3 linked regions of the Callithrix jacchus genome follow. The protein of the gene in region 1 purifies or fractionates together with the protein of each later gene. This does not show direct contact. Links are inferred from orthologs where the notes say so. Each region holds a gene or a part of one and is shown in the gene's direction. Other genes may lie near its edges.

Region 1 (4,019 bases):
GCACTCCAACCTGGGTAGCAAGAGCGAAACTCCGTCTCAAAAGAAAGAAAAAAGAGCTCAATCTTACTGTACTGCCATAAAACAGCTAATGTGATTTATGTTCGCCCCCAAATTTTAAAAAGCAGTTGTGCATTTAAATGCATTTAAAAAGGCAAGACTGCCCAGGTGTGGTGGGCTCACGCCTGTAATCCAAACATTTTGAGAGACTGAGGCAGGTGAATTACTTGAGGTCAGGAGTTGGAGACCAGCCTGGCCAAATGGTGAATCACCATGTCTACTAAAAATACAAAAATGAGCCAGGTGTGGTGGTGCAGTCCTGTGGTCCCAGCTACTAAGGAGGCTGAGGTGGAAGCATTGCTTGAACCCGGGAGACAGAGGCTGCAGTAAACCAGGATCATACCACTGTGCACCAACCTGAGTGACAGTCTCAAAAAATAAACCTCAAAAAGGAGAAAGAGAAAGAAAGGAGAGAGAAAAGAAAGAGGAAGGAAGGCGGGAAGGAGGAAGGAAGGGAGGAAGAAAGGAAGAAGGGAGGGAGGGACAAAGGAAGGAAGGAAGAAGGGAGGGAGGGAAAAAGGAAGGAAGAAAGAAAGGAGGGAGGGAGGGACAGGTGCCCTGGGAAGGGGAGAGGATCAGGACGCGCCTGGAAAGCAGACTCTGAACCTCAAGATTCTGCTCACAGCCCAGCGCGCGACCCTGGGAGAAGTCAATTCCCCACGCGCCTCCCCCAGCTCAATCTCCCCAGTTTCGGTGCCTGTCCTGTCGCGCGCAGGACCCAAAAGCAAACCACAGCCCTGGGTGCCGCCGCCTGGGCAAAGGTTCGTTCCGTTTCTTCCCCTCCCCGCCCCACTTGGACGTGCTTGCAGAGGGTGGCGTCGACGAGGCTGTTATTTATTTATTTATTGTCACCAACCTGTGGTGGAATTTGAATACCGTCTCTGATTCGCCCCGCTCTGAATGACGCCTGCCGGGGCGGTGAAAGTGTAGCGGCGCCGCGCCACACAACTCATCCTCCACACGCAAGTCTGCACGCGCCCCGCGAACACCGTAGACTCCAGGGACATTTCCGCGACCACGAATACACGGGCGATACTGGATCTACTGTAAAGGCTGAAACCCGCTGGCCTGGGGGACGAAGAGCGTTTCCTACCGCCGTCGGACAGCTGGTACAGAGCGCCCAGACCCCCTCGGGGTCCCGGAAAGGGCGCGGCCCCGGGACCCAGGACAGCGTGGGGAGCCATGTCTGGGCTTCTCACCCCCAAGACCCTTGTGCTCGTCGTCGTCGTCTCGGTGCTGCTGTCGGTGAGTCCCCGCCGCGAGCCCTGGGAAGAGCGCGCCTGGCGCTAGGAGGGGGCCGGGGGGGGGGGGCACGGCGGGGGTGCCTGGCCTGGATCGCCTTCTGCCGGGCATGTCCGGGCAAGACGTACCCGTCGTCGTCGGAGTCTGGGGAAGAGCAGGGTCCCGGGCTGGGCAGGACTGACCCGGGCCAGGAGGGGTCAGAGCGCGCGCTTCGCTCGGGGTAAATCCCCGAATACAGTGGGGGAGGGCGGCAGGTGGGAATTCCCCTGGAAGCCGCGGGAAGCCACGGAGAGGTCGTCGGACTTAGATTCTCTTTCCTTACTTTCTTTTTCTCTCTCTTCCTTTCTTTCCCTCCCTTCCTTCCTGCCTTAATTTCTTTTTCTTTTGCGCCTTCGAATGAATTCCGAAAGATGCTCATTGCAGTTCGCTTTGAACAGACAAGTCTGCAGCCAGCAACTCTCCTGTGGTAGCTGCGGCCCCGCGATTCTGTTTCGCGCGCTGGAGCCGTCGCGGGCGCAGCTGGAGAGGCCCCTTCCCCTCCTTAGCGGCTACGCCCCCAAGCGCGCGGGGCCGCTCATCACACCCGGATCTGGCAGCCAGACCCGGGATCCCGTTTCCTTCGTGAGCTGGGGGTGATGCGTTTCACACGTGAAGCGGGTACTGGAGCCTGAAGATATTCAGGACGAAAACACGTGCGGTTCTTTCCAGATTGACCCGGCCTCCCGCCAGTACCACTCTTTGGGGTTCCTCGGGAAACGAGATTTAGAAAGAGGAAGTCTTCCTAAATCAGGCACTTGCTGCTTGATAGCAGTTGCATTTTGGTCTGGGAAGGGCCTTTCTATCCACCCCCAGGCAGGTCTCTGTGTTAATAGGGAAGGAAGATGGGCTCTGTAGGGAACAGCACGGTGTGCTCAACACTTGGAACACAGCCTGGGCCAGGAGCTGGGGCTGGGAGCGGTAGTGAATCATCACATTTTACAGCGGAGGAGAACGCAGCTCAGAGGGGGAAAGTGTGTGGGCCCAGGCCTAACAGGAGGAACTGGGAAAGTAGGGTCAGGGGAATGCTAGTGTTGACCCAGAATAATGTCACTGTGAAGCACTGGAGTTGTATTGGAATATTGTTACACACCTCATGTTGAGTTCACTGCTTCCACCTCACACCACTGTGTGTTCTTGTTCTCACCTGAGTGGAGGGAGGGTGGGAACCGTCCTGGTGAAGCGGGTGTACAGGGGCTCTGCCTCCACCTGCTGCTGTGGTTTCTGAGGGCCTCGGCTGCCCGGCATCTTGCTTCTCTGTGGGTGGTGGATCTTTGGTCTCTGGCAGCTTTTAGGATTTTCTTTTTTTTTTTTAACTTTTACAGGAAGTTTAATCAAATATACAAGGAACAGGAAATCCAAATATGACAAACTTTTCCAAAGAGTAGAAAATGAGTACATCTCTAAACACATTTTATGAAAACTAATAAAACCTCTATATCAACCAGGATATTTCTTAGCACTGATTTGCAGTGACTTAGTTTGTTTGCCCAAGGTTGTGTTGAATTTCTTCGATTTTTGGCTTTAGACTTGTATGTTCTTTCTACTTGTGAGATTTATCTGTAAAGAAAGCCACAGCTGGGTTGTATTAAAGTTCTTGGATTTGGGGTTTTAGAGTTTATGTTCTGCTTGGAGATTTTTTTGTTAAGAAAGCCACAACAGCTCACGCCTGTAATCCCAGCACTTTGGGAGGCCGAGGTGAGTGGATTGCATGAGGTTAGGAGTTCCAGACCAGCCTGAAATCCATCTATACTGAAAATACAAAATTAGCCTGGCGTGGTGTTGGGGACCTGTAATCCCAGCTACTTGGGAGGCTGCGGCAGGAGAATCACTTGAACACAGGAGGTGGAGATTGCAGTAAGCAGAGATGGCACCATTGCTCTCCAGCCTGGGAGACAACAGAGAAACTGGAAAGAAGGGAAGGGAAGGGAAGGGGAGGGGAGGAGAGAGGAAGGAAGGGAAGGGAAGGGAGAGTAAGCAAGCCACAACAGGGTTGGGTTGAATTTCTTGGATTTTTAATTTTACACTTTATGTTCTACTTGTGAGATTTTTCTGAAAAGAAAGCCACAACAGAGCTATGTTGAATTTCTTGGATTTGGGGTTTTAGAGTTTATGTTCTACTTGGAAGATTTTCAGCCATTATTTCTTCAAATACCCTGTCTCTTCCTGTTTTTCTTACATTTATGTTAGAATGTTAGATTTTTGTATCAGAGCTAACTTAGTATCTGTTCTTTTTCTTCCCCCATCATTTTTTATGTTTCACTTTGGATAGTTCCTAGTGAGGGCTCATTAATCTGCTTCTGCAGATGCTAACCTGCTGTTAATCTCTTCTACCATATATCAGAAATATATTTTTTAAGCTTTAGAGGTTCTCTTTTGGCCTTTTTAGTATCTTCCATCTGCTTCCTGATCATCTTTGTGTTTTTCTTTTTTGAGACAGGGTCACATGAGGTCAGGCCTCTGTCACCCAGGCTGGAGTGCTGTGACACAGTCAGAGCTCACTGTAGCCTCAATCTCTTGGGCTCAAGTGATCCTCCCACCTCAGCCTCCCAAGTAGCTGGGACCACAGGCACTTGCCACCACAGCTGGCTAATTTTTGTATTTTTAGTAGAGACTAGGTTTCACCATGTTGCCTAGCCCGGTCTCAAACTCCCAGGCTCAGGAATCCTCCCAACTTGTCCTCC
Region 2 (3,038 bases), on another chromosome or scaffold:
GATGGTATCTTGCTCTGTCTCCCAGGCTGGAGTGCAGTGGCACGATCTCAGCTCATTGCAACCTCCGCCTCCTGGGTTCAAGTGATTCTCCTGACTCAGCCTCCCAAGTAGCTGGGATTACAGGCTCCCGCCACCATGCCCGACGAATTTTTTTTAGAGACAGCGTTTCACCATGTTGGCCAGGCTGGTCTCAAACTCCTGACCTCAAGTGATCCACCTGCCTTGGCCTCCCAAAGTTCTGGGATTACAGGCGTGAGCTACCGCACCTGGCCAATGATACTCTTTATAGCAGGGCCTGCACCATTTTACATCCCCACCAGCAGTGTGTGAGGGCTCCATTCTTCCACGTCTTTGTCTATGTGTGTTAATTCTTTTTTTTTTTTTTTTTTTTTTTTGAGACGGAATTTCACTCTTGTTACCCAGGCTGGAGTGCAATGGCGCAATCTCGGCTCACCGCAACCTCCGCCTCCCGGGTTCAGGCAGTTCTCCTGCCTCAGCCTCCTGAGTAGCTGGGATTACAGGCACGCGCCACCATGCTGACCAGGATGGTCTCGATCTCTTGACCTCGTGATCCACCCACCTTGGCCTCCCAAAGTGCTGGGATTACAGGCTTGAGCCACCGTGCCCGGCCCTTTTTTTTTTTTTTTTTTGAATTGTAGACATCCTAATGGGTACGAGGTGGTTTAGTCACATTTTAAAGAAGAAAGTTTAAAGGATGGCATAGGATAGTTAACCCAATGTTTGGAGTAAAGCCAGGCTTTTTTGCAGTGCTATATTTTTTCTCTTGCTTTTGATCTAGAAGTACTTACCTGTGTGTTTCTCTCTATTCAGAGGAATCTATAAAATGTACCATACACAACAGTAGCGGTGTTCAGATTGGAGCCTACAATTATATGGAGGTTGGTGGGATGAGTTCATCACTATCAGACAGCATAAATATGAACTTTAAAGAAGAGCCAGCTTCTAAGTACCAAGATATCTTTGGTAAGATACCCTTGAAGGACCCAATGTCTATCAACCTTGAACTTTCTTGTGAGAAGGATGTAGTGGAATCTTGAAATTTCTCTGATAATTCTTCCTGAAAGTTTTCTCATGTTACTTCTGCAAAATAACTTTGTGATTTCTGTGTAATTTCTTTGTGATTTATTTATTTTTAATATGGAGATAATAACAGTATTTAATTCATGGCTTTGTTGTGAAAATTAAATGAGTTGATATGTATGAAAGCTTAGAACGCTCCCTGACACATAGTAGGGTCTATAAAAAGTGTTAAACTTTCATCATTATCATCAGTATTACTGCTCAGACCTGGAAGAAATAGCTGTGTCAGGCCCTCATCAAAGGAGATCCTGTAAAAGAGAGAAGACTGTGCCCTCCACAGCACTTCTGCAATAAAATCAAGAGGGCTGTCTCTTACAGGGTCCTACTGTGCAGGACCATAATGCTAATCTCGAGGTACAGTCTGGAAAAAGCAGTCATGAGGCCAAAACAACTTGATTAAGAACTCAGCTTTCTAATTAACAACAGGATTGTCTTTTTGTTCCTGTAAAGGAACCGATAGTAAATGTTAGGCATTGCTGGCTTTGAGGTCTCTCTTGGAACTACTCAACTCTGTTACCGTAGTACAAAAGCAACCATAGACAATACGTACATGAATGAACATTGCTGTGTCCCAATAAAACTTTATTTACAAATGGTGGCAAGGAGCCAGATTTGGCCCACAGGCTATAGTTGGCCAACCCCTGGTCTAACACATTTGAAGAACAGCTTTTAAAATACCTAGAACAGAGGTTCTTAACTTTTGATTAGCCAAGGACACCCTTGAGATTGTAATGAAACCTAGGATCTGTCCCATAAAGAAATACTGACAAAATTTGCCAAATATTTTGGGAAGTTTTTGGACTGCTGACAATCTAGCGGTGGCAACACAGGCCACATTATGGAGGGCTGAGGAAAGAAAGGAGGTTGAAAGGAAGAATGAGATGTTTTCTCCCTTACATTCTGTTTATTGAGGTAGAGTGGGGATTAGGGAATATGTTTGTTGTGGTTGTTTTACATTTTTATTTGTTTCCTTTTATTATTTTTATGAAGGGCTAAGAGAAGAACTAGTAGGAGAGAGGTTATGGCTATCGGAGAAGAGGCAATGGCAGTCGGGGGGTGGGGGGCAGGGAGAAGGGTTCAAAAACAGACCTTTCATCGTGTGAAAGACAAGGAAGGCATTGTAACTGAATGGGTTCACACCTGCTGGACAGTTTCCTTGATTAAGAGGAAAGTGAACTGTTGGGCAGGGGTGATGGTCAGGAGGTAAGTGGCTTTAACTCTGGCCAGATGTAAGTGAAAAATGTCCAAAAGGAACAAAAATGGTGGGTTTTTCCTTTACATCCAGGAAAGTCTAACACAAACAGGGTCACCGGCTAAGATTGAATAGAACACCCAGCCTTGTAGCCACATAGGGGTTTTGTTCACAGAGCCATCAGCTGTGGCTCAGAGATGTGTCTGCTAGGAGGAAGGAATGCCTTATTCTTTTGTTTTGCTTTTGAGACAGCATCCTGCTCTGTGGCCCAGGCTGGAGTACAGTGACACAGTCATGGCTCACTGCAGCCTTGAACACCTGGGCTCAAGTGATCCTCCTGTCTCAGCCTCCTAACTGAGACTACAGGCATGTGCCACCATGCCCAGTTAATTTTTTTTTTTTGTAGAGACAGGGTCTTGCTATGTTGCCAAAGCTGGTCTAGAACTCCTGGGTTCAAGTGATCCTCCTTCCTTAGCCTCCCAAAGTGTTGGGATTATAGACATGACCCACTACGCCAGGACAGGAATGCCCTATTCTAAGTCACACAAAGACTCCATGTGGGCTAGCAGGGATATAAAATGTCCACCAAGGTGTCAACAGCTATATAATTAAGACGTTATCTTTTTCACTGTCTCCTGCTACTCTTCACCTCACTTGGGGTTTTTTTTAGCAATTCAGGAAGCTGGAATGTTTGAATGGGTTTTATTTAGCTTGATACCTTCTTCTCTTTCCCATTTGGCAGATA
Region 3 (3,518 bases), on another chromosome or scaffold:
TAATCAAGTATGCTTTCTGATTAGAGTGATTGAAGATGATTTTAAATTCAGAGAAATGTTTACAAGTCCAAGAATGTCATCACTCCATTAATGTTGATATGAATGTTTTTATTGTATTTTTACCTTGGCTGTTTGTGGTGTGTGTGTGTGTCTAAAATACATTTTCAATCACCCAAATGTATTTTAAAAATTAATGTCCACTCAGGCTGTCCTTTGCTTTCCCCCTTGCCTGATGAGCCCAAGGCCTTAAGGATAGTTTAAGGAGTAAAGTACTAATCATTAATTCATCCTGAGCTAGTGGCTTTAGAGATATTAATGAATATCTCACAAATACCACAAAAATTCAACCTGGCTATGTGGAGCAATATAAAATTACTGCATTTCTTGGTATGCTTTTCTCTTTGGCGATGGGACAACTTAATCTTGTGTTTCCAGAAGCATGCTAATTGCCCTGCTTGCAGAATCTCTCTGGGTTGAAAGATTATATTCAAGACAGTCTGTGAATTTTCATTTCAGCTCATTTATTTGAGACAGAGTCTCACTCTGTTGCCCAGGCTGGAGTGCAGTGGCATGATCTCAGCTCACTGCAACCTCTGCCTCCCGAGTCCAAGTCATTCTCCTGCCTCGACCTCCTGAGTATCTGGGACTACAGGTGCTTGCCACCATGCCCAGCTAATTTTCTTTTGTATTTTTAGTAGAGACAAGGTATCACCATTTTGGCCAGGCTGGTCTCGAACTCCTGACCTCAAGTGATCTGCCTGCCTTGGCCTCCCAAAGTGCTGGGATTACAGGTGTGAGCCACTGGGCCTGGCTTGATTTTTCATCTTAAAAAAGACCTTACATTGGCCAGGCACAGTGGCTCACACCTGTAATCCTAGCACTTTGGGAGGCTGAGGTGGGTGGACCACGAGGTCAAGAGATGGAGACCATCCTGACCAACATGGTGAAACCCCATCTCTAGTAAAAATACAAAAATTAGCCGGTATGGTGGTGTGCACCTGTAGTCCCAGCTACTTGGGGGGCTGAGGCAGGAGGAGGGCTTGAACTTGGAAGGCAGAGGTTGCAGTGAGCCGAGATTTTGCCACTGCACTCCAGCCTGGCGACAGAGCAACATTCTGTTTCAAAAAAAAAAAAGACCCCACCTCAAAAAAAAAAAGACCTTATGTTGTCCTAGGTGCTACATATTTCATTTCAATGTCTCATTCTAGATGTTTCTCTTTGTTGTTTGCAGGGGAGGAATTGTTTGGGGTAATGGCAATCTCGGACTCTCCAGGAGAACAGGATAGTGAATCACAGGTAGATGGAAACCTCCAAATCCTTTTTCTTTTTATATTACAGATTCTAGTTATCGAATTTGTTAGCTTTTTTTTTTTTTAAGCTGCCAGATAAACCAATAAGGGGCAGAAGCTTATTGAAAATTTTGAGAACTGTAGAAAAATTCACAAAAAAAGTTAAAAATATGATATAATTTTTATAATGTGACTCCTTCAGTTTTCTATGCATTTGAATTTTATTTTAAGATCCAAGATGAAGATACTGGCATAGTTGGAGGTTTGAGGGGGTGGGAAGGCTCCTTCCTACCAAATCTAGCAGCCATGCCAGCCTGGATGAGGGAGGGGTTTGTAGAAACAGTCTAGCAGGACTGGAAAAAGCAAAGCCTTTTCCTTTAGTTAACATTTCAAAAATGCTTCTCCTTTGTGATTAGGTGTAAGCAGCAAACTCTCATAATCTAGCCAACTCTATGTTTTCATCTCAGTGAACCAGCAGAAACGTCCTTTTCAGGCATAATAACTTCTCTTTATGTAACCAACAATCTACCAAACACATCCTGACTTATTAGCCCATTTACTCCTCCTCATGGCAGAAAGAAGAGGAAATCCTGAATATCTGAATTAGGCTTGAGAGAGATTATTCACTAGTGTGGGCTCCTGAGAAAATTACCAGACCTCTTTCATCTGAAAGTCAAGGATTAATCCAAGCAATGTAGTACTTTCTAAGCAGTATCGCACATTACAAGCATTGTCCCCAGTGAACAGCTTAAAACACTGTCTTAATATCTTAGTATCTTTTTTCTTTTTAAATGTTTTATTGAGAGAGGGGTCTTGCTACATTGCTAAGCCAGGTCTTGAACTCCTGGCCTCAAGCAATCCTCCTGCCTTGGCCTCCCAAAGTCTGGGATTATAGGTGCCAGCCACCGTGCCTGGCCAAATCTTAGTGTCTTAATATCTCAGTAAATATACTTAATATGCTTAATAAATACTTAGCACACTTAATAGCAAATAATAAATACTTAACATACTTGGTGCAAACTTAATCAAATATTTAATATCTTAGAGTTAACATACTAAGATATCAGGTTACTTGCCCAAAGTCATAAAGTGAAGTAGAACCAGGAACTGGGCTTCCTAGCCTGGAGCCCTTTTCTCTACCTCAGAGGGCTATGCAGACCTCCAACTAAACGCTGAGTATTTCAGCACTGAAACAGCCCTAGGAGAATGAGTAGGACGCAGGGCCATCCCTGGCAGATACTATCAGGTACTACAGTTTGGATATTATAACCTACAGTGTAGCCTGGACCTGCCGGAGCAGCCCATCTCTCCCCAGCAGCCACCATGGTCCTGAGAGCTTGGTTAAGCCATCAGCTTTAAAATCCTGGGAACACACTGTGCAATGCATGAATGGGAGACCCTCAGCTGTTAGCCAGGAAGCACAGATGAGTTCAGTAGACAGGCAAGAGAATCACAAGGTCATGGTGTGGGGGCAGCCCAAAGACACATTCCTTCAGTAACTCCTGATTGAGCTCTCACAAGTTAATACTCCATGGTGCCTGGCACAGAAGTTATTGACTTCAAGGAGTCTTCTGTATAGTATGGGAAGCAGAAATGAGAACACACAATAATACAATATGATGACAACAATATTAATATGTGTGCAAAGTGCTCAGGAGGCCCAGGTGTTGGGACACTGACTTTACAACTATGGGGCAGAAGTCTGAGGGGTACTACTGTGTGAAGGAAATAGGTAGGAACTAGTTCTTCAAGGAAACGACCCCAGGTTGCAGTGGAGCAATGGAAAGCAAACTTGCTTCTTCATCTGGTTTACTAGTAAGCTAGTAAGTACGCTGGCTTGTTAGTAAGCTAACCTCTTATTAGGGAGTTGTTTGTTTTCATCTGCAGTGTTTGACCCACAGAGTCAGCTCTTGAATGGGTTTTTGTTTTCCAGACTTCAGACAAAGTTTACCAAATGAAAAGTAAACCTCGGGGATATTGTCTGATCATCAACAATCATGACTTTCGCAAAGCACGGGAGGAAGTGCCCAAACTCCACAGCATTAAGGATAGGAATGGAACACACCTGGATGCAGGTATGGTAGAACCCAAAGAGAAAAGTGAACATTTTTTTATGACTATTTTTTTTTAAATCAAAAGGGAGAGAACAATAGCTATACCAAAAGGGCATGTTTCAAGAAAATGGATTTAAACATATTTCCCTGTGGAGGTGAAGAACATTTTTATATA

Evidence for each region. The genes of interacting proteins can lie anywhere in the genome.
Region 2: the proteins of TNFRSF10B (region 1) and RIPK1 purify together in Homo sapiens (affinity purification with western blotting, with the first as the bait; 3 studies listed by BioGRID). This does not show direct contact. The link is inferred for Callithrix jacchus from reciprocal best matches to the Homo sapiens genes TNFRSF10B and RIPK1.
Region 3: the proteins of TNFRSF10B (region 1) and CASP8 purify together in Homo sapiens (affinity purification with western blotting; 14 studies listed by BioGRID and IntAct, counting the BioPlex papers as one, with this or other methods). This does not show direct contact. The link is inferred for Callithrix jacchus from reciprocal best matches to the Homo sapiens genes TNFRSF10B and CASP8.

What each region holds. Positions count from the first base shown.
Region 1 is NC_133514.1:18,450,014-18,454,032, forward strand, and holds the start of TNFRSF10B (tumor necrosis factor receptor superfamily member 10B), read left to right. Parts: upstream 1-1,239; coding exon 1,240-1,302; intron 1,303-4,019. UniProt on the Homo sapiens protein: Receptor for the cytotoxic ligand TNFSF10/TRAIL. The adapter molecule FADD recruits caspase-8 to the activated receptor.
Region 2 is NC_133505.1:27,534,501-27,537,538, reverse strand, and holds part of RIPK1 (receptor-interacting serine/threonine-protein kinase 1), read left to right. Parts: intron 1-831; coding exon 832-984; intron 985-3,035; coding exon 3,036-3,038. UniProt on the Homo sapiens protein: Serine-threonine kinase which is a key regulator of TNF-mediated apoptosis, necroptosis and inflammatory pathways.
Region 3 is NC_133507.1:122,368,223-122,371,740, forward strand, and holds part of CASP8 (caspase-8), read left to right. Parts: intron 1-1,231; coding exon 1,232-1,296; intron 1,297-3,222; coding exon 3,223-3,364; intron 3,365-3,518. UniProt on the Homo sapiens protein: Thiol protease that plays a key role in programmed cell death by acting as a molecular switch for apoptosis, necroptosis and pyroptosis, and is required to prevent tissue damage during embryonic development and adulthood.